2 linked regions of the Oreochromis niloticus genome follow. The protein of the gene in region 1 interacts with the protein of each later gene in a pairwise test. Links are inferred from orthologs where the notes say so. Each region holds a gene or a part of one and is shown on either strand. Other genes may lie near its edges. The genes, in order: tada2a and sf3a3.

Evidence for each region.
Region 2: the proteins of tada2a (region 1) and sf3a3 interact in binary tests that used the Homo sapiens proteins (3 or more experiments, as listed by UniProt). The two-hybrid records come from large-scale screens. The link is inferred for Oreochromis niloticus from reciprocal best matches to the Homo sapiens genes TADA2A and SF3A3.

What each region holds. Positions count from the first base shown.
Region 1 is NC_031979.2:27,871,061-27,874,988, reverse strand, and holds the start of tada2a (transcriptional adapter 2-alpha), read left to right. Parts: upstream 1-1,178; 5' UTR 1,179-1,305; coding exon 1,306-1,330; intron 1,331-1,736; coding exon 1,737-1,843; intron 1,844-1,924; coding exon 1,925-1,984; intron 1,985-2,076; coding exon 2,077-2,168; intron 2,169-3,928. UniProt on the Homo sapiens protein: Component of the ATAC complex, a complex with histone acetyltransferase activity on histones H3 and H4. Required for the function of some acidic activation domains, which activate transcription from a distant site. Binds double-stranded DNA.
Region 2 is NC_031985.2:38,727,487-38,731,414, forward strand, and holds the start of sf3a3 (splicing factor 3A subunit 3), read right to left. Parts: upstream 2,980-3,928; 5' UTR 2,487-2,979; coding exon 2,391-2,486; intron 2,281-2,390; coding exon 2,233-2,280; intron 1,822-2,232; coding exon 1,769-1,821; intron 1-1,768. UniProt on the Homo sapiens protein: Component of the 17S U2 SnRNP complex of the spliceosome, a large ribonucleoprotein complex that removes introns from transcribed pre-mRNAs.

The sequences.
Region 1 (3,928 bases):
TTAATAAAGGCGCTTTTCACTTGGACTGGGTCTGGGGCTATGTCAATAAACTGCAGTAAGAGAAGTGAAGGAGGAAAAGTGAAACAGATCATCTCCATGTGTCTGTGAAACCTTTTGACTTTATATTTTATATTATATTTTATATATTATGCTTGATATTATTCGTGGACTGTTGTACATGTATAGAAAAAACAATAATAAACAGCTGTCAGCAAGATTAAAAGAAATTTTACCTTTAATTTGTCTATCCTTGTACCATTAAATATTATTATTATTTCAACTACATATTTATATTCTTGTTTAAATTTCCTTTCATACATTTTATAATTGTTACATTTATATGTTTATTTGTGTATCGTGATTACATTTTTAATAGTTGTTGTGAGCCAGCCAGGTGAAAGGTCAACCGCATGACACATTTGCCAGAGGGCAGACAGTGCCCTCATTTGAATAACGAAGCAAAGAGAATAAAAAAAATAATAAATGGGGAAGTAGTACTTAGGTGGCATAAAAGAGGGTTCACCTTAAAAGTATAGTGGAGTGGTTCGATTACTGGTCCAAAGCTATGTGCAAGAAAGTTGGCTTTTGGGTCGTGCAGGACATTACTGAGGACTTTTTATGACCTGCTGAGGTCTATTTGCAATTTTTTATGCAGTTTTACTGCTGGGGAAGAACCAGAAACAACTTAATACTCTAATGAAGAAGGCCAGCTTTGTTATGGCCCGTGCACTAGCCACAGTGTAGGACGGACCACTATACTTGTGTATGTATTATCATTCCCACTGCACTTTATATACATATGTTTTTTGTTTTTTTTAATATCTGTGATCTGGCTTTTAGTGTATACAGTACATTTTCTGCAAAGTAAAAAAAAATAGTCTTGTATTTAATTGATTTTTGCATTTTTTTTGAAGTATTAGCCGTTTTGTTAGTCTTGTTTTTTTCATTGTTTTCTAATATATCACTAATTCACATGTTGTCTCTGACCCCTATGCTGCTGTAGCAAGTAAATTTGCCCGGTGTGGAATAATATAAACTCTATTTATCTAGCCGTAATATAAATACCAAATTACATTACATGTATTACATTTCTTAGTTAGTTACTTAGTTAATATTTAGGGCCATTTCTGCAGTCACTGATTTTAGTCTTATCGGTCCTCCTTATAGAAAATATATCTACGCTGAGTACTGAGTTATCTGAGCTCGATTAGCTGTGCCTTCACAATCAGGGTCACTTGCAAGCTTTGAAAAATAGATGGAACCTAAACGTCGATTCTGTTATTAGTTTCATTTAAACGTAATATTATGGACCGCCTAGCATCTTTTGCAAGTAAGTTTTAGTAATATGTTACAGATACACGTGTCCACTTGAGCTTTAAAGTATAATCATCTATCATTTTTTAGGGTTATTTTCCCAAGTTAGCTGTATTAAGCTAGCTCTGCTACGCTAACATTAGCGTTAGCGCGCAGTGATGCTAACACGGTGTGTTAACTTCTTTAACAGTCTTCAGTGCGGTTTGTTATTGAGCTGCTTTGCAAACGGTGATGAAACATTATCATACATGGCGCTTTAAAGTTAGCATGTGTGGTTTAGCTTAAAGGTCGTTTTAAAGCCTATTTAATCGAAAGCTGCAGTCTTGTTTACATTGTAAGCTTATTTCATGTAAAGTAATGTCAGGTGATTTCATATACAACCCTACCTGGTGACTTAAAGTGTTAAAATCACGTGATTTCAGATGACCCCTCCGATAAACCGCCGTGCAGAGGTTGTTCATCGTTTCTGACTGAGCCTTACATCAAATGTGCAGAATGTGGACCGTCACCTTTCCTGCTGTGCCTCCAGGTGAACCGGTCACAAAAACTGTTAAATTTACCTGCAGACAAACCCAGTCCAACTGAAACTAAACATTTTGTTTCCCTTTAGTGCTTCACCAGAGGATTTGAGTACAAGAAGCACCAGAGTGATCACAAATATGAAATCATGGTGAGTGAAATAAAAAACAAACAAACAAATGAAATCTTATCCAGTGTGGCTGTCTTTCAACATGAATGTTCATCTTTCACCCCGTTATGCAGACGTCAGATTTCCCCGTGCTGGAGCCTGGGTGGACGGCCCAGGAAGAGATGGCCCTGCTTGAAGCCGTCATGGACTGTGGCTTTGGAAATTGGTTAGTATTTTGTAGTTGTTTGGTAAGATTTCCTCAAACTACATACACATGTCCTTATTTCTTAAAAACCCTACATGCTAAGATTATGGCATGCAGTCCAGTTTCCAGAGGCAGGGTACACGCTAAACAGGTCATTGGTCTGTTGCAGGACTAACACAGAGACAGACAACTGTGGACACTCACATTCATCTACTGTCCCTTTAGAACAACAAGTTAACCTAAGAAGCAGTCTCTGGACTTTAGGAGGAAGCCAGAGTATCTAGAGAAATCAACAGTGACAGGGAGAACATTGCAAAATCCACACAGAAAGGGCTTATTTGGCCTGTGGCTTCAAACACAGCTTCTACTTGCTCTTAGGCAGCAAAGCTAACCACTAACTATTTTCCAACATAAATGGTTCATTTAATGGCAATTGCATGTCTCAAAGCTAATTTTTCAGATCATGTGCATAATAAAAGCTCCAAACATCTGTTACCGACAGTAACATAGTGCTGAGATAACAAGTGAACGAAATGTTGCAGAGAATTTCTCTTGTTTGCTTCTTTGTCTGCAAACTCCTACACAGTCAGGAGTTAAGCAAGCAAACTTGGCACATAGGTGTGTCTTAGGAACCTGAAAGTTCTTATCTATATCTGATGTTACAATGTTATGTTGCCCAGGAATCACCTAAAAACAGACAGTACATGTTGGCCTGTTTATGCTGTTGACTAACTGATGTACTTAATCAAACTGAGAAAAGTTTGAAAAAAATGTTGGGATGGGATGTTGTTTATGTAAATAAATAGGAAGTAAATATTGGACTGATTGTATATTTATATAGAGCAAAATGTAGCTACATCTATGTATGGTTAAGGGACCTTTAAGGTTTTGTTCAACCAATTGCACACCCATATAGTAAATGAGGATTTTATAACTTAACTATTCATAATAGTTGCATATTTATGGCTTCAAATCCCATTTCCTTAAGTACATTTAAACAGTTTTTTTTATCCAACATTAAACATTTGATATAATCCTGAAATGCCGTAAGCTTAACTCAAGTGATGTAACATTGTTACTGTAAGGGTCACAATTTGGAGATGTTGCAAAATTTGATTTTATGATCAAGAAATTAAAATGGTACAATGTTTTTATAAGGACATATGTGCATAAATGCTACAAATGGGTCATTTTTTTTAAAGATGTTGGTATGTGGTTGCTAGGCAACATGATGTCATTATATTATCTGGTTAAATATATATATAAGGACATTCAGGGGCCTAAGGTTGGTTTGGTGGCTCAACTCCTGAGAGTGTAAAAGCAGTTTGTGGACAAACAAAGTCACAGAGATTTTGTGTATTTGTATATTTATCATGTTGCCTGGCAGCTACCTAACAACAGCCTGAGCAGTTGCAGCATACCCACAAAAATAGTTTACTCTTGCAGTTCTGTTAATCCTCTTTTTACTATGTAAGTATATATTCAGTTGAGCATACTAGTCTTTCAAATATACCTTTTTTTATACAGTAGGCCCCTATTTATTTTCTATCTACTTTTCTCAGTGTTATCAAGTTTATCAGTTTCTCAACATCATGAATTGGCCAAACACTACTGTAGCACAGGCCTTTATTAGTTGTTATAAAATAAAACTATAATTTATAATTAAAATTAAATTATAATTAAAACTATAAATTATAGCACTGGCTCCAGGCCAGTGCTATAATGGCGAACCATGTAGAGTTAACAGTCTGTTAACTGTTGCTACAGCTCAACTCAGACTT
Region 2 (3,928 bases), on another chromosome or scaffold:
TCCAACAGTGTCCTCATCTTGTGAGCCCTGGGCATGTCCTTTCAGGTGTCTTCAGTAATGCTACAGCTCACATTTGTCTTCACAATTTGGTGTCATTTGGTCTTCTATCCTGCTCACATGCCTAACATACTGCTATGCCCAGCTGCAGTAGCCGGCTCCTCTGTGCTGCTTACTGCAACCTGTCTAGAAGAGGCACACAATTGGTTTGGTGTAGCGCTATTCTCATTGACGATGGGTCTCCTGTGTGTGACAGAGGGGCATTTTGTGATATTACTATTATTTCCTCATCATTTAAACTCCTGCACCAACAAAACTTGAGAAATATGGGATAAATAAAGTATTTCTTATTGTCATCTAGCTGTCGTGTTTCTGAGTGATTTGCTACTAGATTGGTGAATAAACCCGTGTGTGTGTGAATCCCAAGTTAGAGAACAACAACAATGCCACAGTAGAGCAGGCAATAGTCTAGCAGATTAGGGCTGTGCGATATGACCAAAATCTCATATCCCGATATTAAGACATCTATCGTCCCGATAACGATATAAATCACTAAAATTTAACATTTTCTGTAAATTCTGTCAATCTCTGGCAGCTCGACTTCCGGGAAGTGTTTCCAGCTTGGGGTTGTGTACTTGGAGTCGAGTGTTTTAACCGATGCATGAAACTATACATTTTTAGACATAGGTTGTAACGGCCGCCGTTTTCTTTGTGAGTATTTATCACACGGCGTGCTGCGGGGAAAAGCCTGTTCTAACGTTTGAGTCTAAGGTTTATTTTTTAGCACCTGGTGACTCTCATCCATAAACACTCTGCATACTCTTTCATGTAATTCAGTTTATTTTGAAAAGTCTCAACAGGATCTTGAGCTTTATTGTGAAAGGTTTATGTGGAAAATAAACAAGCGGACACGAGGTGGTTTCACCGTCGTTGTTGCTAACGACAACGGATAAAAACAGTTGCTTGTCTGTCTGTAGTGTGGTTATATTAAATATAAGAGAAAGAGAGAACTTTAAGAAATTAATATAGCCACTACAGTGACCATCAAAATAATGAAAAAATATTGCCGTAAACAGCTTATTTTGCGACACCACGAAACAAACGATAGCGTAAAATGAAACGATAGATGTTTTTATATCGTCATCCGATATATATCGTTATATTGAACAGCCCTATAGCATAGCGGTCCCCAACCTTGCGCCACAGACCGGTTTATGCCCGACAATATTTTCACGGACCGGCAATAAGGTGTCGCGGATAAATACAACAAAATAAAACTAGTGCCGGTACCGAAAAAAAGAAGCTTTATTCATAACACACGTGAAAAGACCCAGGAAAACCGAGTTAACGATAAAAACGATAACAAAATAACGCTGAAAACCGATAAAAACCCTGAAAACCATACATTTCACACCTGAGCCTCGACTCTCGCGGCCCGGTACCAAACGACTCACGGACCGGTACCGGTCCGAGGCCCGGGGTTGGGACTGCTGCTATAGCAGATTCACATCATTTCCAGAAGTGGTGAGATTGGAGCTGACGTTAACCATCTCCCGTCATGTGCTACATGTAAGAAAGGGCAACTTAGAAATACGTCCCCATCCTGACTGTCACAAGATTTTTCAGGCTTCTCATGTGAATACACCATTAGTTGGTCTACTTTTCAAATAACCGCTCAAAAGTTTGTTCCTCCACTCCTGTAACCGCACAAAGGTCCAGCCAACATATCTATATTTGAGTGGAAATAACTGTTCGCTAAGAAAACACTCACCCATCTTTGTCTTCATACAGGTCTCTGAGATTTGCGCTCACTTCCATATACCTCTGCAAGAAGAAGCACAGATACCTTTTTACCAGTGTTGACCATTAACAGTGAAAAGTTGCTAATTATCAAAAGTGATTCTTTGTCTCCAATGTGCGTCTCTGAAGTCAGGTTTTAACCATTTATATTTTACACCTAGTTTTAATGACCTCTGATGCACTTGGGGCAGATTTTTGGAGTGTCATTTCGTTGTGACACCGCTTCATTCAGTACATCTGATTACATTCTTTATCTGACCTCTTTTCTGTGATTAATGTATGAAAATGCATCAAATCTGCTAATAAATTGTTCTTTGCACGTTTACAAAATTGTAACTGGGGTTTTATGAAAGGTTAGTTATTCGTTGAATTTCCAGCAAATACTATTAGCCAGTTGGTGAGAGCAGTTTTAAATGAGTCCAAACTCTTACTTACATCCAACATCGCTCTTGTTCGATGGTCAGAATTTATTTGTTCACGCAGCTGAAACGAGAGTTGGAAAAAAACACACAGAAAAATGTTAATTTCAGGGTTTCTGGGATTCACGACCAAGCGTAACAATGCTAAAGCTAGCCTTAAGTGGCACCACTCACCGTCGACTTCTTGTGTAACATTTCTTTAGTTTTAGCATCCATTAGCCTCTCTTTCTCTTCGTGATAGCGACGCTGTTGTTCTAATATAGTTTCCATTGTCCGCAAAAATGTCGAACGTTTGCTAAAGACGAATTAAGGTTTCTAATGGGGTAGAATACAAATGAAGGAAAGCGGCAATACCCGCCGTATCTTGTACGTTTGTTTTCAATGGCGCATGTCGACGAGCTAACGGCCCGCACTGTATTAGCCGTAAGAGAAACATGAACCCGTGGAAGGGTTCCGCCGTGGTAATGTCTGTGTACAATACTTCTATATTTTTTTATCTGAAGCCTTTCGACAGTTAATAATAACACTGGTTCCAGTTTATTTTTAGACAATTACCGTGAAATCCTTTGACACAAATTGTTGAAAGTAATGGTTTCGTTTATATTTTGACCTTTTTAGCTAGATGAGTTGATGGGCATAACAGCAATTCCTTTCAAGAGGATCCCTGGTCTTTACATTACTGAAATGTAAAAACTGCTTCTGAAAAGTACACTTTTTCAACGTGATGGGTTGGCACCACACCGTGCACGGTCTGTGCCGCGTGCTCGGTATTCTCTTTGCACTTCCTTTGTAGTCTACACTATCATCAAAGCCTGACATAACACACAGCGCACCCTGGCGTAGGCGCGCGCACGAAGGCAGTCTGGAGCCGTCAAGCGTCGGATTGGTAAAAGAGAAATAGACCGGAAGTGTGAACTCTGTGTCTTAACATAAAATGCGTCCATTCATCCTCTTCTTCTCATCTTCTTCGGAGGGCTTTTTTTTTTTTAAATCAGTTGCTTGATTCAGTTAAAAAAATCTGAACTAGTTTGCATTATAGACTGACATTTTTGTTTATTCCTTGTTATTTTTTTCGGCAATTTTCACTGGTATCAAAATAAAATCCAAATTAAAAATTAATGGTTAGAAATAACATGTTACACAGTAGGATCAGGGAAGATAAAGCAAATAGGCTAACGAGTGCAAAACTATTCTATGAGTATTGACATTGGGTGAATGGACATTACAAGCCTCAGGTCTACTCGTGCACAAGTGAAAAATTACTTCTGAGATTTAACAGATCGCCAGTGTAATTTTTTAACCTCATTTGAGTTAAAGTGTATTGCAGCATATGAATCTTATTTTTTATAGGCAGTCTTCGGGGAAAATAAGCCACAGGCTTTTATTTTGACAGATTAAACCGGAAACTGTGCTCGTAACGGTCGCTACCGTGACAGTCGCGGTTTCACCACATTCTCAAGCAGTCAGTCAAAGCAGCGGACAGTAAAAAGAAGCGGACGAGCAGCGTTGCGGATTTACAGAATAAACAGTGGAGCTTATAACACATACGTCCAGCCAGCTTATAAAGGTGAGCTGCTCATATTCTTCGCTAATGGAGTCAACTCTATGAAGACAACGAAGATTTATTGGGTTATTTTGTGGGGAAGGGGGCGGGGTGGTCGTGGTGGTGGCGGGGGCATCCATTCTGTCTTTTGTGCTGGAGCAGATTTGGC